5 linked regions of the Coturnix japonica genome follow. The protein of the gene in region 1 interacts with the protein of each later gene in a pairwise test. Links are inferred from orthologs where the notes say so. Each region holds a gene or a part of one and is shown on either strand. Other genes may lie near its edges.

Evidence for each region. The genes of interacting proteins can lie anywhere in the genome.
Region 2: the proteins of TXLNA (region 1) and DEUP1 interact in binary tests that used the Homo sapiens proteins (3 or more experiments, as listed by UniProt). The two-hybrid records come from large-scale screens. The link is inferred for Coturnix japonica from reciprocal best matches to the Homo sapiens genes TXLNA and DEUP1.
Region 3: the proteins of TXLNA (region 1) and HYPK interact in binary tests that used the Homo sapiens proteins (3 or more experiments, as listed by UniProt). The two-hybrid records come from large-scale screens. The link is inferred for Coturnix japonica from reciprocal best matches to the Homo sapiens genes TXLNA and HYPK.
Region 4: the proteins of TXLNA (region 1) and CCDC146 interact in binary tests that used the Homo sapiens proteins (3 or more experiments, as listed by UniProt). The link is inferred for Coturnix japonica from reciprocal best matches to the Homo sapiens genes TXLNA and CCDC146.
Region 5: the proteins of TXLNA (region 1) and keratin, type I cytoskeletal 20-like interact in binary tests that used the Homo sapiens proteins (3 or more experiments, as listed by UniProt). The two-hybrid records come from large-scale screens. The link is inferred for Coturnix japonica from reciprocal best matches to the Homo sapiens genes TXLNA and KRT20.

Annotation. Positions count from the first base shown.
Region 1 is NC_029538.1:4,543,736-4,550,409, forward strand, and holds the start of TXLNA (alpha-taxilin), read right to left. Parts: upstream 3,900-6,674; 5' UTR 3,729-3,899; exon of another isoform or gene 3,715-3,728; intron 3,365-3,714; 5' UTR 3,329-3,364; coding exon 3,220-3,328; intron 2,418-3,219; coding exon 2,079-2,417; intron 1,593-2,078; coding exon 1,501-1,592; intron 1,153-1,500; coding exon 982-1,152; intron 605-981; coding exon 410-604; intron 219-409; coding exon 99-218; intron 1-98. Other genes in the region: KPNA6 (importin subunit alpha-7), read right to left, coding at 5,100-5,284, 6,286-6,464. UniProt on the Homo sapiens protein: May be involved in intracellular vesicle traffic and potentially in calcium-dependent exocytosis in neuroendocrine cells.
Region 2 is NC_029516.1:166,306,786-166,313,296, forward strand, and holds the start of DEUP1 (deuterosome assembly protein 1), read right to left. Parts: upstream 3,847-6,511; 5' UTR 3,745-3,846; intron 2,925-3,744; 5' UTR 2,904-2,924; coding exon 2,860-2,903; intron 1,288-2,859; exon of another isoform or gene 1,212-1,287; intron 1-1,211. UniProt on the Homo sapiens protein: Key structural component of the deuterosome, a structure that promotes de novo centriole amplification in multiciliated cells.
Region 3 is NC_029525.1:18,267,840-18,272,869, forward strand, and holds HYPK (huntingtin-interacting protein K), read right to left. Parts: upstream 2,550-5,030; 5' UTR 2,452-2,549; coding exon 2,266-2,451; intron 2,197-2,265; coding exon 2,141-2,196; intron 1,955-2,140; coding exon 1,903-1,954; intron 1,753-1,902; coding exon 1,657-1,752; 3' UTR 1,547-1,656; downstream 1-1,546. Other genes in the region: MFAP1 (microfibrillar-associated protein 1), read left to right, coding at 82-171, 330-512; SERINC4 (serine incorporator 4), read left to right, coding at 2,985-3,032, 3,149-3,289, 3,474-3,652, 3,736-3,815, 3,908-4,001, 4,064-4,275, 4,530-4,625, 4,698-4,824. UniProt on the Homo sapiens protein: Component of several N-terminal acetyltransferase complexes. Inhibits the N-terminal acetylation activity of the N-terminal acetyltransferase NAA10-NAA15 complex (also called the NatA complex).
Region 4 is NC_029516.1:11,494,972-11,501,313, forward strand, and holds the start of CCDC146 (coiled-coil domain-containing protein 146), read right to left. Parts: upstream 3,847-6,342; 5' UTR 3,703-3,846; coding exon 3,678-3,702; intron 1,294-3,677; coding exon 1,127-1,293; intron 1-1,126. UniProt on the Homo sapiens protein: Essential for sperm flagellum biogenesis and male fertility.
Region 5 is NC_029542.1:4,172,831-4,179,148, forward strand, and holds the start of keratin, type I cytoskeletal 20-like, read right to left. Parts: upstream 3,847-6,318; 5' UTR 3,788-3,846; coding exon 3,368-3,787; intron 3,138-3,367; coding exon 3,055-3,137; intron 2,854-3,054; coding exon 2,697-2,853; intron 2,501-2,696; coding exon 2,339-2,500; intron 2,257-2,338; coding exon 2,131-2,256; intron 1,990-2,130; coding exon 1,769-1,989; intron 853-1,768; coding exon 812-852; intron 419-811; coding exon 321-418; 3' UTR 1-320. UniProt on the Homo sapiens protein: Plays a significant role in maintaining keratin filament organization in intestinal epithelia. When phosphorylated, plays a role in the secretion of mucin in the small intestine.

The DNA.
Region 1 (6,674 bases):
GATCTCTTAAGGGCACTGCACTCAGGAACCCAACCTCCACAAAGAAACAGGGCAAACAGCTCAGTGCTTATAACCAGCAGAGAATCACTAAGACTTACAAAGTCCTTTTCCCGTTGATGCCTCTCCTCTGCCTCCTTCAGCATTTCCTGTGCCTGCTGGAGCTTGGCATCCACGAGCTGCTGCTGCAGGTCCTTGTGTTTGAACACCTTATCAATGTGCTGCCAAAGGAAATGCCACCAGTCACTGACATGCGAGGTCAGGGCCCTGCTACCCACGTGGCACAGATCCCAAGGAATGACCTCAAATCCCAAGGGCTCTCTCTCCCCTCCAGCAGCAGTTTCTGCCCTGGAAACATTCTCCACAGGGCAGAATGGGTGCACCACAGCAGGCCATGCCAGGCCCGACTCACCTCCTCCCGCAGCTCGTACTGCTCAATGAGCTTCTTGAGCCGCTCTGCCAGCTCCATGTTCTCCTGGCGCAGCTTGGAGTTCCTCTCGTTGTGCTGCTCCATCTGCAGCTGGATGTCATTCAGTGTCACCTGGAAGTGGGATGTCACCTCCTTCCGTTTCTCCTCTTCCTCTCGTGCTCGCTGGACACCCTCCTCCTGTATTAGAAGGGCAGACAGCAACGTGGCATCACATCAGGCAGATGAACAAACCTCCCTGGGCCGTGATGATCTGAACCCACCCAACTTCCCACTGCTGCTGGTATCAATCAGGAAGGCTCTGCAGGCCATTGCATGGCAGCTCCTTCACTCCAAGAGCTGAGCAAGCCCACAAATGATCACTTCCTTCAAAATAAAATCACAAGGGTCAGCTCCCTCCCCTGCTGTCCCTTGCAAGATAACAGATTAACAGCACAACTGAAATCCTGCACTGGACATCAGACTGCGGGCGACCACTCCTTAAAATCAGCCCTGCAGCAGGTGACCTAAGGGTTTGGGAGGAAGCAGCTCCTGCAGCAATCCCAGGAGACACTCGCCTTGAGGGTACGGTTGTGTCTCTGGAGCTCACGGCACAGGCTCTCCAGCTTGCTGCGGGCCAGGATGGCCTTGCTGTGCTCACTCTGCAGGTGGTCCTTCTCTTGCACCAACTGTGTCTGCTTCTTCTGCAAAATCTTCATCTGTTTCTGGGAGTTTCGGTGTTCTTCCAGCTAGGGTAGGAGAGCAGAGGGCAGAGATGCAGCAAAACAGACCAGGGCAATGCTGTGCCCATATAAGGGTACACAGGGATCAAATAGGTGTTCTGTCTACTCTGAAAGGACAGGAGCTTTATAATAAAAAGCACAGTCAGATGAATACAGAACCCAAGGTCTCCCACACACAGCCTTTCTCCTTCCTGAATTAACATCCTACTGGAATTGGTGAGAAGTGCACATTCCTTCAGGACCTCCAAGCACTCAATGCTTAAACAGAGCAGAGCTCTGAGTGCTGTCCCAGTGCTCACTGCAGCAGCGTCCTCCCACTGCCCCAGAGCCTGGAATGAAGAAACGAGGACTCACCAGCTCAGCGTATTTCTTGCACAGTGCTGCCAGTTTCTCCTCTGGCGTGCTCAGGGTGTTCAGGGTCTGCATCAACAAAGTGATTTCTTTGCCTGCAGTGAGACAGAATTAAACAGAAAGGTGACGTCACGTACATGGAGTTGTGGCTTATAAAGGCAAGGACAGGAGACAGAAACCAGGTCTCACACCTGTGACCACCCTGGCCCAGAGTTCCCATCTCCAGTGCCTATTTGGGGGTTTGTCCCCCAGATTTCACCACATACAGCAGTGAACAATTGAAGCAGCTGAGGAGAAACGTGGTTATCAGAGTAGGGAACCACCAAGGGGCCAACTAGACAACGCTGTGTGCAGCAGAGGGGAAACCTGCACAATTCAGAGGCTGCAGCAGCACTCAGGACTGATGAGTGTCTTTGCAACACTCAACGTTTCCTCCCATACCACAAGAATAAGATGCTGTACTATTTCCAAACACGTACCTAAGGTATTCATTTCTCTAACAGCACTTAGTGCAGTATAAAATCCACATCTGCACCAAAGTTCTCAGGCTGGCAGCACAACCACAGCAGGAAACCCCTTACCGAGGCCCTTGGCTTTCTTCTTTTCCTGAGCCTTCTTCTGATCCCGCTCTCCACACTCGTCTCCAGGTCGAAACTCTTCGGTCCCCTTCGTTCCTTCCTTCTCACCATTCATCTCGGGGCTGCCTGACTCCTGATCTCCGTTCCTCGGGGACTCACTGAGGCACTTCTCCACTTCCTCTGGCTCCACGGGCTCACTCTGCCCACCGTCCTCACCCGGACCCTCCTGGCTGGCATCCACGCAGTACGTGTTCAAGATGTCCTCAAGCTGCCTGCTCAGCTCCTCAGAGACATCCTGCACGGCAGCCCGGGAGGACTTTGTGTCGTCCTGTGCAAGGGGAGCTGTCGGAGATACAAGCACAAAGGCGTGATGCTTCCCCACGCCGCCTGTTCTCTGCTCTCCACGCACACACAGCAAGGGGAAGGTTTCCCCGAGCACCTCAGTGCACCAGGGCGGGCTGAACTCCCAGCACACAAACTGCTTTGTTCAGGCTGTGCCTCCAGCCAGCTGCCCTGACAATGGAGGTGCATTCCTAACAGCCTCTTTTGATCACGAGAGCATGACCGAGACCCTGACATCTGTCAGGAGCAAGAACTGCCCCCTCCCACCATCCTCTAACCAAAGCAGGTTGTGTGTGAGCCTTCCCTCGGAGCAGCAGCCTGCTAATATCCCCAGAGCCTTTTTTGCACAACAATAGATCTATAAGCTGAGTTTGCCTCTTTGCTCACATATACGAGCAGCTGTAGCGGCTCAGACCCACATCCCATCCCATCCCATCCCATCCCATCCCATCCCCATCCCATCCCATCCCCATCCCAGCACAATCCATCCCATCCCAGCAGCCCCTCAGCACTTCTCTACATCCACAACTCCTCCCAAGCAGAGCTGTACAGCATCAGCTATTGAACTCACTGCATTGCTGTGCATCTCCTACGTTCCACAGTTACTAAAACGCAGGGCAAGGTTAATTGAACCTGCTGTGAGCTGACCACCCATTCCTGTCTCAATGTCACAGAGCAGCACTAAAGGAACCGATCGCTCAGGGACTCTGTGCTGCTGGGATCAACGCTACGAGTCGCACAGAACGGACCGGACAGAACGGGCCGCCCCGTACCCAATACCGGGACGCGGCGCTGCCCGCACCTTCCATGGCCGCGCTGGGCTCTGCCGGTTCCGCCTCGTCCCCCGGATCGCCGCCGGTTTTGGCCGCGGGTCGCGGGGCCGCTTTGCCGTCTCCGCTCTGGTTCTTCATGGCGGCACCGCTCCGCGCTCAGCACCGGGAGAACCGCTGGAACGGAAACCGCAGCTGGAGCGGGGAATGGAGGGAGCGGACGGGAACCGGGACCGAACCGGGACCGAACCGGGAACCGGGACCCGCCGCGACCCAGCGCTGCGCCACGGGGACGGCATCGAGGAGCCGCGCGGCACCGGATCCCATGGAGCCCGGTATCAGCCCCACACAGCCCGGTATCCCCGCACATATCCCGGTATCCCCTTATAGCCCTGTATCCCCATACAGCCCGGTATCCCCGGATCCCCCCGGTCCGACCGGAGCCCCCGTCCGCTCCCGCCATCCCACGTGACCCCCGTGACGTCATCAACACCTCCCTTCCTCCCGCCGTGACGTCACGCCCGTACCCCCGTGACGTCACCGGCAGCGCTGTGACGTAGCGGCCGCTCCTCCCGGTGCGGTCGGTGCCGGTTGAGGCGGCAGAGCCCCGTTGTACCGGCGGGCAGCGCCCAGCAGCGCCCAGCAACGCCCGCTCCCCCCGCCGGTCCCGCACTGAAGGAAGCGGTTCCGGGCCGGGCCTCGCAGCGTGCGCTCATCGCGCAGGCGCCGCCCCGCTCCGCCGACCAATCAGCGCCGAGCAGCCGCGGGGGCCGCCGGGAGACAGAGGCGAGGAGCGGGAAGAGCCGCGGGAACTACAACTCCCGGCGTGCCCCGCGGCAGCCACTTCCGCCCCCCCCGGTCTCCACAGCCGCTCGCTCCCGGCCCGGCTCCGCTCAGCGCTTTGTTCGATCCCGGCCCGGTACGAGGAACCGACCGTGAGCGCGGCCACACACAGCGCTATAACGGGAGCAGCTCGGGCCTCGTGTGCAGGTAACGGCTCACAGCGCTATTACACACATTACATTACACAGGTGTTGGTTTCCTCTGGAGCCCGATTAGACAAACAGGTGCCGATAGATCGTATAAAATACACAGATCTGAGACTTTATGAAGGAAAATGTTTGTGAGCGGGACGGAAACATGGAAATGAGGCCCAGTGTGTTCACACAGCACCAGAACCGGGCTGTGGGGCTCCAATACAGCTGGGGATGGGGCAGCTCCCATAGTACAGCCCCCCCAGCCCCAGCCCTGCTCACAGCCACCAGCTCCGGCTGCTTCGACCCTTGTCAACAGCAGCAGCTCAAACCAACCAACAATATCAGGACACGGGGAGGATCCTCCCACAGCCCCTCACCCTTTGTCCATGTTCTGCAGTGTGAATCCAGCCCAGCTCTGCCAGGATCGCTGCATGGGGAGCGCAGAAAGGCCAGGGCTAAACTCTGCTCTTGGCAAATTAGAGTCTTTAATAAGAGTAACATGTGCAAAAAAATTAAATAGATCAACCCAGGTTTCCAGAATTATTCTCGTCTGAATACTCGCTTTTCTATTTCTGTTCTTACCCAACCCAACGCTGAAACCTCAATTAAGTACCCGAGGTAAGAAGTGACATTTGGGAGAGATCACCACAAAGAAAAATAAACCCAAGAGGTGCAACGAGTTACCTCAGTGTCCTTCCTCCACCCAGATGCCTGCTTTAAAGACACGTATGCAGCAGCAAAAAGAAAATAAACGTGCAAGACATCCCATTTTCTTCATGAGGATAAAGCACTCTGTCTATTCGTTTGAAGGAAGAATTGTTTCCTAACAGGTGGAGTGAGCGTCCAGCCTTCCGTTTGCAAGGAGGAAATGGGATCAGCAGCTTCTCCCAGTTGTTTTGTGGCAAATTTGTGGTGGTCTTTTTGCCTGGGGCGTATTATAGCTGGAAGCCTTCCATAGGGGCTTCAGGTTGCTGGAAGATGAATTGCTGCTGGTTCTCATCTACCTGGGGAGCTAAAGCAGAGTCATCCTCTACTCCAAAGTAGTGCTCAATCAGATCAAATGCCTTCTGATAAATCTCTTGATTCTCGTGGCTCTGGAGGAATTCAATCTTATCCAAGCCTTAGAAAAGACAAAAGTGGAATGTGATGAGACAGGAGATCCTAACGTTCAAGCTGTCCCGATCCATCCTCCACCCTTCCCCCTATTCATTGCTTGTCTGTGTTACGTGAGCATTTTGTGAGCAGCACCGACAGCTAAAGCCAACTATTCCCATTTCTCCAGAGCTGCCTGTGGATTTTATCTATATCAGCAACCATTAACCTTCCCAGTTGCAGGTTTAGCTGATGCAGTAAAGCAGGAAGTCTCCAGCAAAGAACTGCGAGCACTGAACTGGGCAGTGAAATCTGTGCCACTGGCTGGGAACATTCAGCAGCTGCAGGGGAAGGAAGCAGGGCCTGTCCCAGCAGCATTCAGCAGAAGGGCAGCAACAACTTTAGCTGTCCTAATTAAACCCACTGCTGAACGGGAAGAATCCGAGCACTGCACACTGAGGAATGTCAAGAATTATTCTTACTGGAGGAACCAGGACACACAATGTAACAGTCAGTGAGAGGGCAAGGGAAAAAACATTAAAAACGATGCTGACAGTATACAGGGCATTTCAGACCAAAATAGGAACCGTTCCTCAAAGCATTAGGAACAGGACAAAACCACCAAATTAGGGCTCTCCAGGGACAAGCTCCGTCTCTCTGGATTTCTGTCATGCGTTTGCAGTGCACAGCTGGGGACAATTAGACAAATCAAAGACCCAAGAAGTGGGTCTTACTCAGCTCAGCTTACATTGATTAATATTCCCAACAGTGTGAGCCGCAATTATCAGCCTGGCCTCTGGGTCTAAGAAACCTGGATCACAAGCACAGTAGTGTTTGCTTCCTGACATTATCTTATGCTGTATTGTAACATTCTACAAAGACAGTGTGATCTATTATTGGAACAAATACCAGCTCATCTGGAGCACACCCAGCCCCTTAACTCATCAGAAAAGCAAACAAAACTAGCAGACCCTTCCAATATATTCTACTGTGTTCAGAGTCAGTGGCACCGAGGGCAGCAGAACCTACCGTAGGCCTCTTCTATCATGCTGCAGTACGGGTTGATGCCTGTCCCGCTCTGGCTGGCCTCCTGCTCTCCCAGCCTCAGGATGTTCTCCAGGCCATTCAACGCCACCTGAACAATCTTGGAGTCCATGACAGTAAGGAGGTCACAGAGAGGCTTGATGCAACCCAGGTTGACCAGGTATCTAAAAGAGATGACCAGGAACATTTGCCTTTCAGGACAGCAAGCACCACCACTGCTCAGTTATAAAGAACAGGACAAGCGATTCAAGCTAAAATCAATTTCTCTAATGTAATCTTTATATTCTGCTGTTTTAGAAGATTATTTACCTACTTGTTAACATTTACACCCCCCCACACACTTATTTTTTTCCCTGATTTTAAAGCAGCTCCTT
Region 2 (6,511 bases), on another chromosome or scaffold:
GACATAGCTACATGGAGACTAAAAACTGGTGCAGCATCTGCATAATGTAGCAGCAAAATGCAGAAGGGTTAATGACAAAGCACACAGCAGCAGACATGTAAATGTCCTAAGGGGTGTTGGTGAGGATTTCAGTATCCAAATTAGCACAGGATACCATTTTGTGTCATGTACTTTGCAATCTGGCAGATTTTATTGAGTGGACCAACTAAGTGCCAAGTAATTAGGAACTCTATTTTAGCAGAACCCGACTAATCAAACACAAACTGAACCACATACTCAGAGGTAATATTGTCTTAGTTTCAGCTGGGACAGAGTTAGTTGGTTTCACAGTGTCTGCTATGCTGCTATGTTTTGGTTGTAGAAGAAAAATAATGTTGATAACATAACATTTCTCGTTGTTGCTAAGCAGTGTTGTAAAGAGCCAAGACCATTCCATTTCCAGTTTCTCCTCTCCTGTGAATGGCTGGGGGTAGGTACAAGAAGCTGGGAGGGGACAGAACCATGATAGCTGACTTAAACTGGCCAAAGGGACATTCCGTACCATATGACATCATGAGGAAGGAGTTTTGAAAGGAGCGGGAGTTCTGTTCTACTCCCAGAACTGCTCCCTAACATTGCTGTAGCATTATGCACATCACTACATAAAGATGCACTTGGCAACTACCCCCACCTACTAGCACAGGAGGACTAAGAGCTGCTGTGCCTGTTATTTTAATCCCTTTGGTGTTTTGCAAACAATGGTTACTATACTCCCTCAAAATATGACCAATGATATGGTATGAGAATGATGCAAATTTCATTCCATCGCTGGAGGTGGAATGTGGAAAACTCTGGCATATTTTGTTTAATATAATATCAGCTAAAAAAACAGGGAAAAGCTTACCTATAAAGGGAAGAAGAATGGGAATTTTACTCATAAGTATTCAGCACTCCTACACTGCTGACTGCATTCACCAAATGCATTCCTCCCACATGGAACCAATGACTTGGATTTAAGCAAGTGGGAGCTACTCTGTTGCATTTACTATGAAATGTCTGAAAACACTGTAAAGTAATTCATTTTTAAAGAGGTGTAGGCAAGCTACTCTATTTCCTTAATAGTGAAAATAGAGGTGATTCATATTCTGCTGTCATTAATGATTATTTATTTGCATGTCAAACGTGTATATTTCCAAATTTAGAGAAAATAAATCCTGTATAGTAAATTTTACCAACTTCAGGCCTTCATGATCCTTAACCCAGCTTCTAGAGCCAGCATTAACTCCTTTCCTCTTCTAAAGAGCTGCTCTAGAAATACAAAAGATATAAGCTGTCTGTGACATCTCTCCATCAGTACTTTTACCGTGTGCATGAGATACAACTGATATATCTAACAATTTTTAGCCATGTATTGTCATATATGTGTGGATGGATAACTTGTGACTTACGAGCTTTTGCAGATGTGATATAATTGTCATGATTTCTATCCCATAATTTCATCCCTTTTCCAAATTTCAAAGCTACCTGCATTATTTCTGCAGTGCCATCAGCACAGAAAGGGAGGACGGTTGGACTAGATGATCTTGTACGTCCTTTCCAACCTTGCGATTCTATGATTCTATGACTGAAATGTCGGTCTCTCGCTGGATGTGTACCCTAGACTAAACTTCAAGATTCTTGGTACTATTAATGGAAATAAATAGCTATCTAGAACATCTATTGTACGGTGGGATAAATCACTTTCTAGATCCATCTACAGCAGCTTGAAATTTCATATATGCCAATTACAACTATGGATCTGCACATAGCAGGGGGGTTGAAACCAGATGATCATTATGTTCCTTTTCAACCCAGGCTGTTCTATGATTCCATGATTCCATTCTATGGTCTGAACTCAGAAAATGGGCTTTTGACTTATTAAAGAAGTAGCCAAAGAATATCAATATATATTTTTAAAATTCAAGTTTTTATGAGACCATATTTACCAATCAGCAACTATCAAAAAGAATGGCCCTCAAAGCCAAAGAGGAGCTATGTTGTTCAGAATGCATTTGGAATGCAGCATGCTATTTTGTTCCATTATAAGAACTGCATGAATCATTCTTCAGTACAACCGAGCATGCTTTCACATCATATTAAAGCTTTCTTCATCCAGAATAAGGTGTGGGTGAATATTTGTGTTTCTGTTACTTTAAGAAGTACTTTTACACTTAGTTTGTGCCATATTAGCTAGATTGCTTCTCGATAATAGCGATATGAGGAACTATTTGATACGACATATGGAGAGGTGCTCTATCTTGCTCTGTTCCTTGAACAGGCTGGATGACGTGAGATCCTACATCAAATCTCACCCATGGTTTGAGCTGCACTGCATTTCTTCAGCTCCATTTGGATGATGTGGAGAAAAGATGAGTGTGTTGGGAAGAGAAGTGCACATAATACCTGGCTGAACAATTCTGGTTATTGTATGTGAAAAATAAAACTACAGCTTGAACAATAACCTTGTTTCTAATACTTTTGCATGTTTTAAGTGCTGTGATATGTAAGTTTATATAGCTGTAGCCTAGCAACTTCAATAATTTTTGAAGACCACTCAAAATGAAAATTCTTAGTATTTTAATAAAACCCAGTTTACATTGTTTTCTTTTTGTTTAGGTATGCAGATTTTAAGGACTTAAATACATAAAAGTAGAAAATCAAAGCTCTAAACTGTGCTATCTTAGTTGTCAGTAACCTCTTCACACCTTTCACAAAAGAATTCCAATATATTGTAGAAGAATATTTGCTTCTAAAATTGTTAATATTTTGTTTTATATCCTTAATAAACTGATATAATTCAACTCCGTTACGCATTCAAACCCCCAGATAGTCTGTACTTACTTAGAGTGAGTCTGTTCCTGAAACATTTCTAAGCCCTGCTCCATACTGCCCAAAGTCTTGTTAACCTGTTGGAAAAGCAGAAATCATATAATTCAGGTTATGCCAAGCACACCCGTACTTAGCAAAGCAGTGCATGGTGGACAGTTCAGTGCTTTCCTTTCAATTTCTGTGATTCTTCCGCCTCAAACAACAGGGGAAGGGAAACAGAATCACAGAATCACAGAATGACCCGGGTTGGAAGGGACCTCAAGGATCATGTAGTTCCAACCCCCCTGCCTGGCAGGGCCACCAAACATACACATTTACTAGATCAGGTTGCCCAGGGCCCCGTCCAACCTGGCCTTGAACACCTCCAAGGATGGGGCATCCACAACCTCCCTGGGCAGCCTGTTCCAGGGCCTAACCACTCTCCTAGTGAAGAACTTCCCCCTAACATCCAACCTAAATCTTCCCTCTTTTAACTTAAAACCATTTCCCTGTGTCCTGCTACTGTCAGCCCTTTCAAAGACTTTACTCCCCTCCTGGGAGTAAGTTCCCTTCAGGTATTGAAAAGCTGCAATGAGGTCGCCCCGCAACCTTCTCTTCTCCAGGCTGAACAAACCCAACTCCCTCAGCCTGTCCTCATAGGGGAGGTGCTCCAGCCCCCTGATCATCTTCGTGGCCCTCCTCTGGACCCTTTCCAAAATCTCCATGTCTTTTTTGTACTGAGGGCTCCACACCTGGACACAGTATGAAAGATGGGGCCTCACAAGAGCAGAGTAGAGAGGGACAATCACCTCCCTATCCCTGCTGACCACCCCTCTCCTGATGAGAGCTATCACTGCCGGCTATCACCGGCGTTGCTCGCCGTACCCTCAGCGGACCCCTCCCCTCCCTTCCCGTTACCTGCAGCTCTCCTCCTGCCGCTCCCTCGGCTCCCTCCGGCTCCGTGGCCCCTCGGCCCGCTCACTCCCGTGCCCCCATCCCGCCCCGGCTCCCGCCCGCCGCCCTCCCCGCCCGCTTTGCCCCGCGGCCGTTGATGGCCGCGCCGGGCCGTCACCGCGGCAACGAGGGGTGAGGCGGGAAGAGGGAGCGGTACCTGTGAGGGGAGAGGCGGGAGGACTGAGCAAACTATGGATTATGAACAACGCTTTTAAAATGAAAGATTAAAAGTATACGTAGAATTTCAGGAAAATTCGTGATGAAGTTTGCTTACTCAGACTTCAGCACAGCCTTTGTGTTCCACAGAACTCTCACAGAGAAGCTGCAGCTCATGGCTGGGATGGGTGTTGGTTATTGAAACATTTCATAAACTTAGGATTTAAAATACGTTGTGGAAATAATTTGCAGTGTAACTGCCAGCAAATTCCCTGTTGTTCATTTGAAGTTTAACTTTTCAACCCCTATTCCCACTGGGCTCATTTTAATTTCCTACCTGTCTCATACCTTCTCAGTGCTAATCAGTTATTCAGAAATTGAACTATCATGCCCAAATAAAATGTGAAGAAAAAATATCAACATTCACACGGAAAAATAATTTCAAAATGACATATCAATGCCTTAAAAGCTTTTCTGAAGGACAGGTTCCCACTGCATTTAATCAAAGTTGTGTTTCTAACTCCTGGATGCTCCTCTGAGTATCTCATTTGCTATATTAAAATAAAATCTCCTACAAAATTCATGACATTTTCAATTTGCTTTTGCTCACCGACGTTATCTTTTGACTAGAGCTTGTTAATGAGAAGGAAAATTTTCACTTGTTGACTTTGTAAAGGTAATTAGTAGTATTCAAAGCAGATGGAGAGGAAGCATAATAAATGCAAATAATTAAAGATTTTGTAAAGGATATTTATACATACATTAAATTATGGTAGCCAGTAAAGTAATAAAGAAAAAGAAACTACTTTAAAACCTGCAAATTAATGGAAAGATATAAGCACAATTCTGCAGGAAAATAAAGAGGAGTTATTTCAGGTCACGGACCAAACAGTATATGACCAAATGTCAAACAAGACGAGGCACAGCATTGATATTAAAACAAACAAACATGGAAAATTATCAAGGCAGACACTCAGAATTACCTGGCAACAACAGAATACAGGAAAATCCAAACAGTGATCCAGGGGGCACAAAGATGTATAGCTTCAATAGGATGCCCCTTGCTCAGCCTGGTCCTGGGATTCATGAAGCAAAATGAGATTAACAGCTCCAGTAGAAGAACTGGAAGAAGCTGTATAAAGAGAGTTGTTCATTTTCCAATATCTGCAACTCTGAATTGCCAGATTCTTCTCTTTCTTTCGTAGCATTGCACCACATTATTGATGGGTAGGTATCCTGTCTGTTCACCTAACAGAACACATGCCACAGCTGTTCCTGTTTTGAAGGGAAGCATTGGAAGTGAGTCCCTTCATACAGGATGTATTTTGCCACTGGTGTGGACTTCACATGGAATTGTAGAGCTTTTGTCACTAATGTTTGGGAAGTGTGTAGTTATTAAGATACAGTGCTGAAAGGCAGGCAACCTAAATTCTATTGCAGTTCCACTCCACCAACAAATTGTATTAAGAGCTTTTGAAGAAGTCCTAAGTCCTAAGAGAATTTAGAACTCAGAATCATAGAATCACAGAGCATGGAGGCTGAAAGGGGCCTCAAAAGATCATCTAGTCCAACCATTGCTGGAAAAGGGCACCTGGATGAGATTATACAGCACCAGTCCAGTCATGTCTTGAGAACTTCTGTCACATCCCTGGAGAGTTTTTTTTTTCAGCAGTTGATTGTTCTCACTATAAGAATTTTCTTTCTTTAATTAGGACTTGTTGCCCCTTGTTCTATCCATGTGGAGACTTGTGAAAAGAGACCCTCCATCCTTTTGTAGCCACCTTGTATGTACTGGAATGAGGTCCTCCCTGGCCCTCCAGCAGGGCAGAAAGACTTGACTCCTTCAGTCTTTCCTCACTGGTCAGGTTCTCAAGATTTCTGATCGTCTTCATGGACCCTTTCTAGTTTGTCCATGATGTTTCTGAAATACAAGGATCAGAACTGGATGTGGTACTCCAGGTGCAGCCCAACAAGTGATGAGTGATATTTTATATACTGATTCCGTTTTTTTGCAATCTCAGACGATAAACTTGTGTTAGAGAAAAACCCTTTTGTTGCAAGAGACAGAGTCTGACTCTTGTAAGAAACATACATGTGATATTGCTTTCTTTGGTGTTGAAATCACATTGTTTTATTAACTCTCACATGATGGATTCACAGCAGCTCTAAAAACACTTTAATATTTATATTCTCTATGTTAGTTTGGATGCTTATGAACATATCAACTAAATTTAGAGGAGCTCTTTTAGAAAGTGTAGATGGAAAGGAAAAGGAGTAGCTTAGCATAAGCCATTTCTCAACAAGAAAAGACAGCAGACAACAGAACCTATGGCAGAATTCCCAAGATATAAACATGAAAAATCATAGAATCACAGAATCATTGAATTACCCAGGTTGGAAAAGACCTTGAGGATCATCAAGTCCAACCACAGCCTAACTATAGTACCCTAACTCAACCCTCTGCTAAATCATATACTCTTAAACACATCCAGGGATGGATGGCCTAAAGCATCTCCCATATGTGGAAAGGCTGAGTAATTTGGGACTGTTCACCCTAGAGAAAAGTAGACTGAGA
Region 3 (5,030 bases), on another chromosome or scaffold:
CTCGGTAGCTCTTCTCCACTTGTCTTCTACTGACACTTGCTGGAAACTTGCAAGTCAAGCAGGTGTGTCCTTCCTCCGCAGGACGAAGATGAGGAGGTGTACAAGCGGGACTTCAGTGCCCCTACCCTCGAGGACCACTTCAACAAAACTATCCTGCCCAAAGTCATGCAGGTGGGTGTGTGGCAGGTCTGTGCGCTGCCCCAGCTCCACCAGTGCTGCTCAGCTGGGGCTCGTGGGATCGGTGGGATCTCACGAGGGAAGGAGCAGTGACATGATAGGGTCCCCACATCGTACACCAACTGATGCTCACAATCTTTCCTGCCTCCCAGGTCAAGAACTTTGGGCGCTCAGGACGGACAAAGTACACGCACTTGGTAGACCAGGATACCACCTCGTTTGACTCTGCCTGGGGCCAAGAAAGTGCACAGAACACTAAATTCTTCAAGCAGAAAGCAGCAGGCGTGAGGGATGTCTTCGAGAGACCCTCGGCCAAGAAGCGGAAGACCACTTAAGGGAGCAGACAGGAGGGCGTCCTGTGGCTGACTGGGCAGAGAGGCACTGCTTTATCAGCTGCCTGAGAGCCTGGGCAGGAACAGCAGGGACAAAACACCGCACCAGGACTCGTGCCACAATCAGCTGTCCCTCTGGGCCCTTGCACTGCATCCTCCCTGTTAGTTGGTGGCATGATCCATGACCTATACTGCAGAGACTCGGCAGACTCCCATCGCTGGTTCTTGTGGCAGATGACTTCCAGCCATGCTGAGCAGCCTCATGGTCATGTCACCACCCCACCAGCCTGCGAGAGCCTTGGCAGCACCAGAGCAGCTGTACAGAAGCACAGCACCCCCTGCTCCAGCATCCCCACCTTCAGAGGAACTAGCAGACACTTATCCCTGTCTGGTCCACAGTATCTCTCTATTCCTCCTACCTTTCCCCATTGTCATTTTGGATCTTCCTTTGGGTGGGAACAGCTGTGACAGACTCCTAACCCTGTTTTTGCAGGGCTTGGCTTTTCTATCTGTACAGGGGGATGGGATTGTTTTGATTAAAACAATTGTTTTCTTACAAATTTCAGTAGTGGAGTTACCCTGCCCTGGCCAATCACTTCCCCTCACCTCAATAGTGCAGCAACACAACATTAGCAGCAACGGGCCTGAGAAAGGTAAACTGCCAAGGGTGCTGCATCACTTGTGATCAGGGTTCCTGCCCTCACTCAGGAGGCTGAGGGGCAAAGGCGGCAGCAGCTCCTTTCCAGCTGTGCTGCTCTGCCTGCTGCAGTGGGGACAGCATGACAGGAGTTGCTGTCAGGGCAGAGCCACTGTGCTGGAGACCAAAAGCCTGTCCTGGATCAGCCTGACAAGCCATGAGAATCCTGGGTAAGCTCACTGAGCTGCACAAAGGGACCAGCACTCACACTCTAATTACAGGGAACTTGGTGTCACCACCCTGATGCCACACATTGTCCCCACATTATCCCCATCACCGGGTGCCCTCTCAGATCTGCCCAGCACGGGAAATGCTCGGTGCTGCACGGACCACAGGAACAGCCTGTTCCCACCGCTGCCTTTATTCAATAAGTTAACGCACACCGTCTCCAGCCCAGGCCGTGTTGCTCTTCTCACAACGAGGGAGCACAGAGCCAGCAGCAGCCCGTGCTCAGTTGGTGAGGGTGATCAGTGCTTCCACCACGTTGCCCATGTGCTCCCGCAGACTTCGCTCCGCAGCCGCCCGTGAGATCTCCATCTCATTCATCTGTGGGGAAACAGCCGCAGCTCAGCGCAGACGTGAGACCACCCCATGGAGCAGGGGGAGGGGTTGGCTCAGCTCATCGGGGACACCCCGCTGTGCAACCCCTGACATCTGGGACGCGCCGGAGCCAATTGCGCTTCCTCCCCTACTTACAATCAGCTCCAGGTCTTCTTTTTTGATGGTGACTTTGGCCAGCTCCTTCTCCCTGTAAGCAGAGGCAGAACCGCCCGGCAGTGGAGGGGCGGCTCCGTTCAGCCCCAGCCGCAGCAGTGGCTCCATGGCGGAGCACGGCACCCACGGGAGCCCCGCCCAGGGCAGCGGAGCAGGAACCGAGGCCGAGCCCGAACCGAGCGGGTCGGGGCCGCCCCGGAGCCACGTGTGTGTCGGTTACCTCTCCTGCTTCGCCTTCTGCTCGCGGGACCGCCGGTCTCCGATCACCGACATGGCCTAAGGGAACGAGCACGGTCACGGCGCGGCCCCGACCCGGCGCGTCCCCGAGCGGCGCCCGGCCCGCACCGTCTCCAGGTTGGAGCTCTGGATCTCCTTCTCCTCCGCGTAGTCCGTCACCCGCTCCAGGTCCGCCGCTCCGCTGTCGTGTTTCCGCGGTTTCTCGGCCGCTCTCCCCCCCGCCCCGTCGCTGCCCCCCCCGGAGCCGTTGGGCTCGGTCTCCAACTCCAGCTCCACATCCCCCTCGGCCGCCATTACGCCGCCCCCGGGCCTCACTTCCGGCGGAACCAGCGAGAGCGGGGAGGGAGGGGCGGGTGCGGGATAGAGCGGCACCAGCTGCGGCCGAGGGGACAGAGCGCCCCCTGCGGCCGCCCGTGTGTAATGAATGTACCGACCGTGGTACGTCACCGGTGTGTAACGCAAACCCGTGTGTTAACGCACCGTGTGCAATGAATGCACCGTGTGTAACGCACCGTGTGTAACGCACCGCCCCATGGGCCGCGTGTTCCCGCAGCCGCTGCACGAGGAGCCGCCGTTCAGCTCCGTTCAGCTCCGTTCAGTTCCGTTCAGCTCCGTTCAGTTCCGTTCAGCTCCGTTCAGCTCCGTTCAGCTCCGTTTCCGTTCCCCCCACGGGCCCCCCAGGACGCGGCTCCGCGCTTCGGGCCGCACCGGGCGACGCGGCAGCGCCCACGGGCGGGGGGTGACCCGTGTGAGCAGCGAGCAGCTGGCGGGGCGGGTCACAGCGCAATCCCTTAATCCCATCGGGACCAGATGAGCCTGGACGGGTCATGGCGGGCACGAGGGCGCGCGGCGTCCTGCGCTCAGTGCTGGGCCAGGTGCGAGCGGGGCAGCGGGCGGGGGTTCGGTTCGGTTCCGTTCGGTTCGGTTCCGTTCGGTTCGGTTCGGTTCGGTTCGGTTCGGTTCCGTTCGGTGCTGACCGCGCTCCCTCCAGCTGGGCTGCGGCTGCGGCCCCGGCCGGGGACTGCGCGCCTCCACCGGCACCCGCGTCCTCTACACCCTGCTGCACGTCCTGGCCTCCGCCGTGTGCTGCATCATGCTGTCCCGAACTGCGGCACGGGCCGTCAGGGAGAAGGTGAGAGAGGAACAGCAGGGAGTGATGTGGTATGGGGCTGCTGTGATATGGGGCCACTGTGATATGGGGCACTGTGATATGGGGACACTGTGATATGGGGCTACTGTGATATGGGGCTGCTGTTGTGTTTGACGGGTGCTGGAGGTGCTGTCACACCCCCCGACCCGTCGCTCTGTGCCCACAGATGCCGTTCTCGGGGTTGCTGTGCCAACACCTGCCCGGTGGCACGGACTGTGCGCAGCTCGTGGGCTCCTCGGCCGTCTACCGGGTCTGCTTCGGCACCGCCTGCTTCCACCTGGCGCAGGCTGCCCTGCTCCTCAACGTGCGCTCCAGCGCTGACTGCCGCGCTCAGATCCACAACGGGTGCGGGCTGGGACGGGCTGTGTGTGCTCTGGGGCTGCTCGGTGACACACAGCTGCATCTCCCTGACACTCGCTGCCCTGCAGGTTCTGGCTCCTGAAGCTGCTGGTGCTGGTGGGTCTCTGCGCCGCCAGCTTCTTCCTCCCTGAGGACAGCTTCATCCAAGGTGTGAGCCGCTCCCTGCCCAGGCCAGTGCTCACCTGTGGTGTCTTGGCAACAGCCTCATGCCGGCCTCATTGCTGCCCTCTCTCCCTGCAGCGTGGCACTATACAGGCGTCTGCGGTGGCTTTGCCTTCATCCTCATCCAGCTGGTGCTGATCACCGCCTTTGCTCACACCTGGAACAAGAACTGGTGAGTGCAAAATGGTTGGGTGGGTGCCCACATGCTGCCGGCTCTCATTACTCTCCTGGCAGGCTGACGGGCGCAGCGCAGGACAAGCGCTGGTACCTGGCTGTGCTGCTGGCCACCACCGCCTTCTACACCCTCGCCTCCGCTGCCTTCTCCTTCCTCTACAAGTACTACACCCACCCGGCCGCCTGCCAGCTCAACAAGGTGCTGCTCACTGTCAACGGCAGCCTATGCGGCATCATGTCCTTCATCTCCATCACCCCCTGTGTGCGGCTCAGTGAGTACCACATGGCATGACATGGCATAGCGTGTCAGTGCTGCCTGCTGCATTGCAGGGCTGGCTGCGTCTTGGGGCCAGGAGGGTGGCTGCAGACTCCCAGCTCAGCAGAAGCCGTGGGCACTTGTGGAGCGTGCAGCTCCCTGAGGCTCCCTCTGGCCCTGTGCTGTGCCCTGGTGCAGGGCTTTGGGCACAGGACCTGCCAAAGGGGGTGACTGGCACCCACACGGAGCCTCTAACCCCTCTCCTTGCAGAACAGCCACGGTCAGGGCTGCTACAGTCCTCGATCATCAGCTGCTATGTGATGTACCTCACCTTCTCTGCACTGTCCAGCCGTCCTCCAGAGAGAGGTGAGTGCTCCCACTGCCATGTGCAGCCAGCTGCTGAAGTGTGAGCTCGCTCTCACTTGAGCCTCCCTGCAGTGCTCTACAAGGGGCAGAACCTCACCGTCTGCTTCCCGGGCATCCAGCAGGACGAGCTGCAAACAGAGGACACCACAGTTGCCATCCTAGGAGCTGCCATCATGTATGCCTGCGTGCTCTTCGCATGGTGTGTGTGCCCACTGGCCCTTTCAGGGCACAGCATTCCTTCGGGAATGGGGGCTCTGTCTCTAGCCCACGGCATAGACAGTAGAGCTGGGGGTGTGCCCAAGGGCATGTATAGGTGGGCAGCCTGATGTCCCCAGGCCTAGCACAGCAGATCTGCTGCTGCTGTGATGATCCCAGGTGCCAGATCCAAGGGCGGGCAGGGGGCCT
Region 4 (6,342 bases), on another chromosome or scaffold:
TATTTATTTTATGAACTTGTTAATATATCTTAAAATTGAGATAATGGACATGACAAAATTCAATATATTCATGTTGCTTTTGAGAATAAAATTGCATACATCTAGACCATAATGCACAAAATCCAAAGTAACTAGCAAAATGTATTGAATCTTTATGTAGTATTTATCCGAGTGGCATATTTGTTTCATCAAATAAGTACTAGAATGTGTAGTTTTCCATTAAACTTATTCACATCATATAAATTTATTTATTTCTAAAAGCATACAATAGAAGAGAACAGGATTATGAGTTAAGATACACAAGACAAGAGAATCAATTAGAAGTGTTAGAGCAGAAGTCTTTATTTCAAGGACATAGCAGCAAAGGCAAAAAGAAGTGGAAAGTTCATTTTTTGAATGTATGACAGTTTTCTAACCAACAGCAGTGGAAGTACTGAGTTATATATTGATGTCAGCTTGGTGATAAATAAAAATGCTTGATGAAAAGAAGCAACTCATGATGGACTGAGGGGCTTTTGTTCAAACCTCTAGTCAGCTTTCAATGATTTTCCCAACTCCACATGACTAAACGCTGCTACTATGTGTTATTAAAAATGAAGGAGAAAGTTCTGCAAGCTTGACTTATTGCAACTTCTGCTATTTTCATGAGAAATACAAGATTTGTTTGGCTGGGAGGTTTACTGCCAGAAGGGCTATATTTGTTCTCAAATAAATCTTAATATCAAAAGGTGTTCCTTCTGATAAGCATTTACTGCTACAAGAGTATAAATGACTAGCTAGTAATTCAGAGAAAATATGATAGAAAATACTTAACATGGAAAATTTTGAAAGATATTCCAAGATTTAATCTAGTATCAATACAACAACCTCTATTGTGACCTCTTAAAGCCACACCCCCTGAAAAGAGTAACCTGGGTTTCTGTTACGTGCACCATCTCCAGCAAGAAGTATATGCTTGGTCCTTCTTCATAAAACATTCTTATGCCTTAGAACAAAAATTAGAGAAGATAGGAAAGCTACAGATGTTAACATGCATCAACTATTAACAAAAATATATACATTTTCAATTATTTGATTTTGACACAATCTGCATTGCTGTAGCTAAGGAAACTAGAGTACATGATACCTCATCTAAACACTGAAATGCAGGACTTGATGTTACATCAGTGGATACTTCATCTCGGGTATAGACTGTTGGAGCTAAAGCACAGATGGGTTCCTCCTTCTCGACTTCCAATTCTTCTTCATCAGAACTGGAACTTTCATCACCAACTTCACTCATTTTCTGGAGATCTAGGAAGTAACAAAAATACCAGAATTTGATTAATTAGGTCCTGGGATACACGTGACTATACAGTGTCTACATGCGAGACCCACATTCAAACAATAAAAACCAGAATGTTAGCAATTTGGATGTCTCTGTAAGTTCAGGAAAGACTTCTAGGAGACAGCACTATCCCTCTAGCACTGTTTGCGTATTTTAAGAATCCTCAAACAGTTGGCTAAGTTCTCTTTACATAAGCATTTGAGAATACGTAAAACAGTACTTAAAGATCAGGCATTGAATAACAGTTGGGAAAAAAAGTTGAATAAAAGTTGGAAAATGCTTCAGGAGTCATTTCTACTCCACATAAACAAGGCTTACTTGAAACCTAAATCAAGTTCTTTAGGCCTTTGACTATCTGAGTTTTGAAAATTCATTGAAGTGGAGACTTCAGCTTCTGCCTTATAAAGAAAATCCCTGGGTAGGTGGGATTACCACAGGTATAACTCCTATGACTTTCCATCTGTCATAGTACTAATCAAAGAACTTGCCTCCTCTCCTCTCCAACCATGTCTGCCCACCCTTTGCTGCACTTTCTGACCATGTGAGGTACCTATATATAGAAAGGGAGCTGCTTTGCAGAATGTAGAGTTCTTGAGGAAAAGACATTGTCTGACATGTGTAATATCATTAAAACATTTGTTTTAAACCACTGCATGGTCATAATGAACAAAAAAAGAAAGAAAAAACAAAACAACAAAGCCATACAAAATGCAAAAATATGATATAAAGTCTGAGAACAGGAGGTAGATATATAACGAAATCTGGCACACACGTCTTGCCGTGCCATAGCAAGAAAGGAGAGCCAGAGACTGTTTGTAGAGTAAAACATAGAGGGCAGAAGAGACAGGATATATATAGAGGAATTCAAGCACTTCTCCACAAGTTCTCTATAGTTGGCTTTAGATGCAGTGGGCAGACAAATCACTATCTTGGTATTTTAGTTCAAAATGTGGGGAGAAATGTTGATGATGGCTGCAAATGTTCACTTGACTCTTCCAGTTCTTTTTAGGGTAACTTATTCTGCTGCAATAATGATAGAATAGGATCTTGACACCAAAATGCTGAACTCACATAAATTATCTACTCTTATCATTATTCTCCATCAAAAATATCCTTTATATTATAAATCAAAAATCCACAGTAAGAACGAGGGAAGTTTTTTGTGAGTATTTTAATAGTATCCTTCAGGTTTCTCCAATGAAAGAACAAGAGTTTTGCATTCCAAAGTCAGAAAACCGACAGACAGCAGAATGTGTTTTCTTTTTACAGCTGTGATGGGCAAATGACATAAAAATGTTTTGCTTAGCATAGCCACTTTCTGAAAAATCTATTGTCTATAAAGGTAGCCTACAAATGGTCTATAAACTGCACTTTGTTCAGTGCTGTTTGGAATTCCTTCAAGAACAGTCTGACTTTTAGAGAGATTTTAGCAGCTGCATTTGCTTATGGAAAAAAAAAGCACTTTCATGATCACTCCTGAAGGAGTCAAAACATTGTGAAACAGCTGTAAACATCACCGAGGCCAAGAAATAACTCTGAAGCACCGTTACATATACACAATTATAAAAGGAGACTTGCTTCTCATCTACAGTATTGCTGAATATTTGAGAATATGCATTTCACCTTTATGGTTGCTGTTGCTTTATTTGTGTCTCTGTACAAATTTCTGGTAGAAATGAGGAAGAGTGAAAAGCACAAGAGAATAAAAGCTCTAAGCAGAGCAATGCCAAAAACTGGGAGCTTCACCTGTGTAGGCATCTTTATTTATAACTGTATGTGAAACAGAGTTGATGGGAGTAAAAAAACACCCAGGTTAACACTTCTTCACCTTATGACAGCACAAAAAATGTTTTCACCAGAGACTACATTTTGCTGAGCAAAAGGAGAACAAGGTCCCCTGAATCTGAAATGTTTGTAATATGATGATAAGACACAAATATAGACCCATCAGACAGAGGAAAACAACTAGACAGCCTTGGCTATTGGGATAAATGCTAGTCTCCATTGTTCTTTAAGAAGGAACAGAACAGATTTGCCTTTTCAAAACACTTAGCAAGCAGTAGCATAACAAAAGACATGTGAAGTTTAGCATTCTTCAACTATCCACTACACAAGTACATTTAAAATCCAGCTTAGAGAAAATCACATACATGCAGTTCAAAAAAACAAATTGGAAAAATAGTATTTTTGCCACATCTGATAAACAGTTTAATTCAAATAGCAATGAAAGCTGAAATGATTTCTATATTTACAGAGCAGTTCAATAAATATGGATGTTCTTAAACAGCAGAACTGCAAACAACAGCAAGGCCTTGAACCAACACAGTGAATTTTTGAGGAAAAGAATTACAAGTCTGTTTTAGAACCCAGGTCATGTCTTGTGAAATTGCTTCAGGACAGCAATAAAAGTCTGAATGCAGATTCCCAAGGTGAACTCCAGCACCTTTACTTCAGTTCCTCTCCAGCAATCAGCAGCGTTAATACAAAAGCCAGTGAAGAGTACAGAAAGGACATGCGTCGTTGTATTGGCTCCGTCTAAAATGACAACTGCAGTAAGTGGTAACATAAGTAAAAGCAGTAAAATTTCATTCTGAACACGAAGAGATACAGCTCTACGTATGGAGATGCATCAGCTAGACTTATTAAGAAAGCACTGAATTTATAAAAGTCTCTGCTGAGGGAACTACACTTCATTAACACTTTACACTTTGTCTTAATTGGGTTACCTCAGAAAACAGATCCATTACAGTTAAGCCAAGTTAGTTGAATTGGTGTGGGCAGAAACATAAATGCTCCAAACCACTAAAGGTTTTCTTGTTTCATACAGGAGCACAAAGCTAAAGCTTAGGCAAGTTTAAATTAATAGGTGTAAATCCACACTAAGATAAACCAAGGCCATAGACACAGATCTCCTTCCCAAGCCAGTGACATTAGTGGATGTTGGGTATCACTGCCTTCCTCTGCAGGAGGATGTTACCTTCCTTCTCCTTCAGTGCTGATCTGCAGGAGGAATGGCTTTAGGACCATTTTCTCAGGCAAAATCAGCTAAGGAAGCTTACTATTTTTAAGTCAATAGTATGAGATAAAGAGGCTAATTTTGATGGAAGTTAGCCAAAGAGCACATTCCCATCTGTCCTGCTGGCTGGGAGGCAGCACCCAGAGCAGGGAGACAATGAACAGAACCTCAGCCAAACTACTGAGCATGACACAGGATATTTATCTGCATCTCCATGCTGACTAGTTTGCACACAAATGTTTAAATAAGAAACATGGCCTCTGAGAATGAGACAACTGGCTTAGCATTTTGCACTGGATTAGTCAGAAAAAAGTCATACAACTCAGCTGGAAGATCAGAGCATTGATACCTAGAGAGACCCAAAGCTGGTTTAGCTCATGACACCTTCAGCCAGCACTGGATGCCAGGGGGCAGACAGAAGAATCCATTAGTGGTGTTTTCCTGAACTTATGCAAAACTTTCAGTATCTGCAAAATCTGACACAATGGAGTTTCTCATTTTACCTCTTTGAGACATGCATAATCAGTTCTTTTTGTTTTGAATCTGGCTCCTTGATGTCTCCTAGTTCTTTTACTGGATGGGTCATTGAATAAGCTCAACCTTTCTATGCCACTTGTTTTCCAGCACAGTCTCCTTGTTTGGTAATCCTTTCTCTAGGCAGAAGAAAACAACCTACCTGCAGCTACTGGTAATAAAGTCCTTCTCTGCCTTCTGCTGTCTCTGTCATCCTTCTCCAAGTCCTTTCCAGTTCTATCATTTCCTCTTCAAAGAGAGGGATGAGGTACTATTGGTAACAAAGGGCTACTGGCTATTTATTCAATGGCACAGCGATTTTCATTTCCTAACATCGTATTTCCTAATGCTTCTTTCCTATAGTTAAAGTTAGTTAAAGTCTCGTAAATAGCCAGACCTCTGTACTAACTGGGCAAAGCTTCAGCTCTAAAGGCTGTGTCTTTAAAACACAAAGCTATACCAACATTAAGCAACAGCTGAAATTAAAATTACATAGTTACAATAGGTTATTATTCCAGCAATTCAGAGTACTTTGTTTGATTAGACACGCAGCTACACAGACAACTGTTTTTGGGAGATGATAACACGCTGCATACCTAAATTGCTTAATAATTCTGTTATGAATTCCATTGTTTCTGTTTGTTTTCAAGTCCCTGCTGTTTAGGATGGAATCACCCTGAGCCACCCACAGACTTCATCTGCTGGAGCCACAGTGAGATAGGGCTTAGATACGGATGATTTGAATGGTGAGAACTGTCACTTCCCTTTTCATTTGGTTTCCATGAGGAACTTGATTTCCTCAGAGCTCTTGTAGCATGACAAACAAAAAACAGCCCTGAAATCAAAGCCTCTCTGCCCTCTGTACCCCGAGAAGAAACTGTTTCCGTCGCTACACACACACCGAAACACCACAACAAAACAAAACAAGCTCTACCTAACCACCAAGCCCTACTATGAGCTGAAAAATCGGAGGGCTCAAGGAAGCAGTTCAGTAAGATACAGAACAACTTAAATTGCCAACCACAAAAAAGCAGATTACAGTAATGCCATGTAAATATTCTACAGTAGAAACACATGGAATATTGAATAAACTTAAGAAGATGTATCCTGACATTGTGGTGCTCAGGGATATGATTTAGCAGAGGGTTGTTAGAGTTAGGGTACTATGATTAGGCTGCGGTTGGACTTGATGATCTTCGAGGTCATTTCCAACCTGGGTAATTCTATGATTCTATGATTCTAAAGTTCTTAAGCTGAATAAACACAAATGAACAGCCAGCTCTGAGCGGGGCTAACCTTGCCCAAGCACTGGGTGTTAACTCAAAGGATGGGTTCTTGAAGAGAGCAACCCCAGCACGAGCAACACCAGCAAGAATAATGATACAGGGAGCATTCAATGTGAAATGGAATCAGTGTTAAAGCAAAGGTGTGGAGCCGAGTCCCCGCAGTAAGGGGCGCCCAACCTGCTGCGTCTGCTGCCCCCTGC
Region 5 (6,318 bases), on another chromosome or scaffold:
TAATTTATTATGAAATGGCAATTGACGTTTCTTATTTGGAAATCACATTTATTGAAGTGAGTCTCCAGTGCACCGCAGTGATAGTTCACGTTCAGAAGAGATGCACTGAATCAACATTTTAATACAGTTTTGAATGTAAATCTACATGTTATTGGTTTTATTAATAAAATGAACAAACACACACAAAGATGAAAACCTGGATTGTCTGAGACTTGAGGATTTGGCATTTTTCAACCCTTGTTGATTTCAGGGAGAATTAAATTGGTTTCCTTATGAAGTTTAATGGTGTCATTTTGGTGCTCTCCCTCCGCTGGTGCTGCTCACATCTTCTCCTCAATCTCCTTAACCTGAGAGGACACGACTTTGCCGTCAACCACCTCTTCAACAATTGTCTTGATCTTCTTAATTTTACTTGATTCTGGTAATGAAATTGAACAGTAAATTAATAAAAATGCAGTGTGCATTGACAGAATGTTAAAGTGTGTGCACTTCGTTTAGGAGCCCAATCTCTGTGCAGTCAGTGGAGAGAAGCAGACACCTCTGAAAGCCCTTGGAAAGGAATTCCATGGCTTTGCCATCCATCTGGCCCTTTGAGAAGCCTGTGGTTTTACCTCTGGCACCTGGGTTACTTACATAAAGCAGGGCTTGTATAATCCCTGGAGGTTACCTGTTCATACAGTTGATTGTTTTCTTGTTTTAAGATTTCACCAGTTGATTATTTGCTCTGAAACTGCACTTTTTGAAATCAGCCCGCTTAATTCCATAACATTTAAACAGGAAGCCATCAAAAGCACATGCCTGTGCAACATACCTTTTTCAAGTTCATTTGTAAGTATATCCTCTTGGACAACCCTGTTCGGATTTTAAACAGAAAAATGTAAGTATATTATGCCTGACATAGTGAAGAAACAACCTGGCATGTTTTCTGCACCTTTAATATAAACAGGTATATTTCCTTTCATCAAGACTTTAGTTCAGCCCTTGTCACGTGTTTAGATGAGTTTTCAGTACTAAAGTGAATTTTGTTAAGCGTCAGCTATAGGTGAAATTCACCTGCAGGCTAATTTCTGCAGTGTTACAACTTCAGCTCAGGAGGATTTGCCCGGCCTGGTTCCTGAGCCAGAACTGACCTTTGAACCATAGGACCTTTGAGGGAAGCAGCGCTGTCTGCTTGTGCTGCTCTGCACTCTTTCACAGACCTCTGTGCACTGCAGAGCAAGGGATGCTGGACTTTCCAGACAGTAAATGTCAGCTCATTTGCACCTCCTACGTATATAAGTGGCTCAGCTACTGGTGGCAGAAGTGCAGCAGGATGGAATCCTGCACGGGCTCCCAGACTTGCCATAGACTGCAGGAGGTCAGTGTGCGCTCACTGAGTGCCTTGCTCTGATGTGGTCAGGTGCTCATGCTACCAAAAGCAGTTTAAAATGATGTGCCCTGAGTTTCTGTCATTACAGTTATGGAAAAGTTTATCTAAAACTGCATCACTTTTGTTCATGGAGTGTGGGCGGCTGTCAAGATACTCAATTCAAGAAGAGTAACAGTGTGTACCCGTGCAGAGGGTGGCATAGACTGGTCTGAACACTGCAGCAGCCTCTGAAGGAGCACAGACTTGGAGCCTACAGCTGAGAGCCGGGCAGCAGGCAGACTTTTTTCCTTCAAAAACCAGTTGCCAATAGGCAGATTTTACCACCGTTTCTGTCTGAGAATTTAGAGCTCATTTGCACTGCTGTCAGTGGTGCAAAGCTGCCGGAGCCCCTTTCCTCACCTGATGTCCTCCCCTTCCAGCAGACGTCGGTACGTGGCGATCTCCATCTCCAGGCGAGTCTTGATGTCCAGCAGGATGCTGTACTCCGTGTTCTGCCCCTCCATGTCAGCCCGCAGCTGCCTGAGCTGAGCCTCTAACCTGGCAATTGTTTCCTGGATTTGAGCCAACTGAAAACTGTAACGTGCTTCAGTTTCAGCCAGAGAATCTTCCAGAGTCTTCTTCTACAGTTGGTGAAAAAGAACAGAGATTTATTGTTCAAGAGGATACATCTTGGCCTTAAAATTACATTTTGAAATATGTCCCAGTTTTTGTTGTTATCTCTATAAACACAGCCCTTATTTCAAGAACTGTTCATCACTCACCATGTTCAGATGGGTCTGTAATTCCAGCTCCAGGCTCTGGGAGATCTGTCTCCGATCTGTGACCTCTCTCCTTTGTTCTTGCAGCTGCTCTACATTGATTGCTACTTCCTGGTTCAGTGCTTCTGTCTGAAATATGGAAATGGAAGGACTGTGAGCTGTGACCAGACATGACAGAGGCTCTCGCTGGTGTTGAAGCAATTGACCTTACTTGCTTTTCAAATCGTTCTTTGGCTTCTTGGCGGTTCTTTTCTGCCATTTCTTCATACTGCCGTCTCATGTTTTCCATAATACTTGCAAGATCAACACCTGGAGCAGCATCCACCTCTACGTTAACCGAGCCACCCACTTGTTTGCGCAGCCTTTCAACCTCCTACAACATTGAGCACTGCGTTAGCATCAGCTAAAGTGAACTTCCAGGCCCAAATATTGGGCAGAAGCTCAGAAATACAGAAACAGAGCAACTCTTAATTCTTAAATTTAAATTTAGCTCTTAATTTAACTCTTAAATTTAATTTGTAAATGCCTCTGACAAAAAAGAAATGATGACACTGTTCTGCTGCTCTCACCTCTTCATGGTTCTTCTTAAGGAAAATGATTTCTTCATTCACGCTTTCAATCTGTGCCTCCAGATCTGACTTGGTTAAGGTCAGGTCGTCAAGGACTCGCATGAGCCCATTGATGTCACTCTCAACACTTTGCCTGAGCAAGAGCTCATTTTCATACCTGTAAAACAAGGCTTCTTTCGCCACCATAGAAGTGCAGCAGTTTGACAGAAACATCAAATCAATAACTTCTACAGCCCGAGGCCTAAAGTATTTGTTTTTACTGAGCTCTGTGGTTTACTTCTCAGCTTTGATACTAATAACTAGATGTTATCCTGAATAACTGAAGCATGAAGGAGTGCAGGCAGTGCGTGGAACTTACTTCAGTCTGAAATCATCAGCAGCCAGCTTGGCGTTGTCAATCTGCAGGACAAGCCTTGCATTTTCCAACTGTGCAGCACTGATCTAAAAAGGAAAGGTTGGAAAGGGATGAAGCAGAGGTAATGCAGCTCGCAAAGGACACTGAGTGAGTCTTAAACATTAGAAAGTCTGTCACTAATTTGTGTCTGGCCAGAATGAAGCATTTCCTGTTCCCAGGTGAGACAGATCCTATTTGATCTACTTTTCCACAGTAGATTGTTACCTTCCCCAAAGCTGCAGTTTATGCTTTTATAGATGGCTGTAGGAGATCTTACCTTGTTTTGGAGTTCCTCGATTGTTTGGAAGTATGAGCTGTAGTCACTCCTTATGCCCACTGTATTCTTCTCGTGCCACTCCTTGATCTGCTTTTCAAGCAGGGAGTTTGATTTCTCCAGAGAGCGCACCCTCTCCAGATAGGCAGCCAAGCGGTCATTAAGGTTCTGCATGGTTGATTTCTCATTGCCAGCGAGCAGCAGGTCGTTATCAGAGATGTTGGAGAAGGCACCGCTGGAGCTCTGTCTGCGGACGGTGCTGCTGGAGATGCGGGTGCCGTAGCCGCCAGCCCCACCATAGACACTGGGCGCCTGGATCCGCTGCACGGCCGCGCTCCTGACGGACAGAGCGCTGCTACCAGGAGCTGTGCCCTGCAAACGGGCGGCTGTACCCAGCTGGAAGCTCTGTGTGGAGAAGGACATCGTGCCTCCTGCAAAGGTGAAGCGGCTGACTGTACGACAGCGAGTTGGAGTGAAGTGCTGTGTGCTCTGTAAACCTTATATTGTCTTTGGAAGAGGAAGCACGGTGGTTGTAAACCCCACCTCTCTTGACGCATACTGTAATTGGTGTCAGCACAAATAACATGCAGGACATTGTCCCCACACTCTGTAATGCAAAGGGTTTTTAATCTCTCCATCTGCGTTTGAAAAAAAACTGCTCAGGAAATTTAGCTTTATTCATTTTTATTTTGAATGAAAGATAAAACACAAACGAGCTGCTGAATCATTTATTGCAGCCTAGCCAGCCTATCTCTATAGAGCCATTGTCGAACAAACCCTGTGCGGGTTATGAAATTAAAATGAGTTGACCGTATGTGACAAGAGACCTTAAATATTTATATCTCAATCCAGTGTACATTGCTGTTGTGTGAGCCATCGTCTGGGCCTGAGGATGGTGTAGGAAGGTCTTGAAATGGTCAGGAAGGTGGCATTTGTATCTACCGCCTTCATTCATTCTACAGTAAGCACAGAACAGTAATCTTAGTGTTGTCAAAATGACTGGTGTAGTTTGCTTGCATTGAATGTACACTGTTCAGTGATAGAAAGCCCTTAGAAGTTGAACTGGGCTGCAGTGTGGTTGAGATAAGGCAGAAAATGTAGTAGGCAAAGCTGTAAGGATATGAGAACCACCTGGATGGCTCCCTTTATTTTACATGTGAGATGCTGGTCCATAGTGCTGAGACCAAGCTTCCAGCACAGCTCCAAGCCCTCCTGCCCTGGCAGCGTGCTCAGCACGTTGTGCCCTCTGGCTGCTCTGCCTTTGACAGGAAATCAGCTGCCTCTGATCAGCACACAAAGAAACCCAGCAGCTGTGTTTTGTAGTTCCTCCAGCTGCAATGTATGTACTGCTGAGATGTGACAGGCAGAGATACAATGGAAATCGAGTGAAAGAGCTCAGAGCTGGGGGAGTTCCTGGTGCTGCATGAAAGCAGGCAGCAGGTGTGCAGCAGGACAAAGCAGGTGGAGTTCCTTGGGGCACTGCATTTAGTGTACTTCAGTGTATTAATAATGTACGGCTATTCAGGTTGAACAATTAACATGTATTGTTTATATTAGTGGAAAAGAGCTGCTGTACATACTGGTCTTTTAACCTGGGACAAGGCAATGGGTGACGTGCTGTTCTCTGGGCACTATGCTGGATCTTGGCAGCATCCTCAGGTTTCTGAGAGCTGAGTGTGGGATTCGGTGGGACCAGTTCAGCTCAGATTGGATACAGAACTACCAATAGTTTGCTGAGTGCAGCTGTAACAAGGCAGAGTTCAGCTGCTCTGGAAATGTGCATCTTCCAAAGCAAAACGAGCAGCATTCAGAGCAGGGCTCCTTGCCATGAGGATGCAAAGTGTACATTCAGGTGTCTGAACTGTGGTTGGACCTCGAGCTTTGGGTGTGACTCAGAAGCATAAATGTGCATTTATGGCAGGTCCGGTCAAAGTCCAGCAGCCAGGTCAAATGTCCCGTTGCTATAGACACAGGGTGGGTCTGTTCTATCTGCACTCAATAGGGATCATTTCCAGCTGTAGGGCAGAGCTCACATCTTTAAAACCACGAGAAGAACGCAGCAAAAGTCCTGCTACAGTTACATCTGCTGTCTGTGCATTGCTCTGCCTGCATCTCTCACAGGACTCTCCAATGGTTTGTTTTCAGTAGACATTCTGCTTTGTCTTCTTCCAAGTTATTAAAATAGTTTCCCCTCAGGTACAGTTGACACCTCAGGTGAGGTTTTATCGCTCCATACATTTTTTTGTCGTGGAATACAATGAATTTTGATGTCTGCAGCTGTGATCGGTGTGAGTGCAGTGCTGCTAGTGCTGCAGGGGTGCTTCAGTTTAGTTGTGCAGCTCCCACTCGAGATGCGGCTGTGAGCAAATCCATGGAGCACAGACAGTGCGATGTCAGCCTGCAGGTTTGTGTGTAGTCACAACTGTACATAGCAACGCCTGGAAGCTGATTTCCTGAAGGACTGTCACCTTTGTGACGGACACTGAGAGCACAGCAGAGATAACCATCCAGGGGTCTGATAACGTGTGCGTGCCGTTTCGTATTAGTCACCAACCAGCCAGAGGTAACCGGGCATGGGAGTTCCAGGAAAAAAGACACACCCAGCGTTGGCTGTGGGTTTGAGCAGCCTGTAGCTGGGGCACAGGCTTCCCTTTAGGCTGAATTAAAGGTTTAACTGAAATAAAGGAGTTTTAAGTTCAGGCTTTAGCGATGATCCGCTTTAATGGTGAAATCCAGTGCCTGCTTATTAGTCCCTGTGACCACATGGTTGGTTTCTGTTCAGGTTTTGCGTCGTAAGAATTTGATTCCCTAAGGTCTTTTACAATAGAGTTGTGAAAAGGCTTCCATTGTACAAAGTACCTTCAAGTGAGAGGAGTTCCATGTTCAGTGTTTCAGGCGTATTCCAGCCAAAATCCATATTTCTGTGGCTGAAAAATTCCCCCCTTCTCTTCATA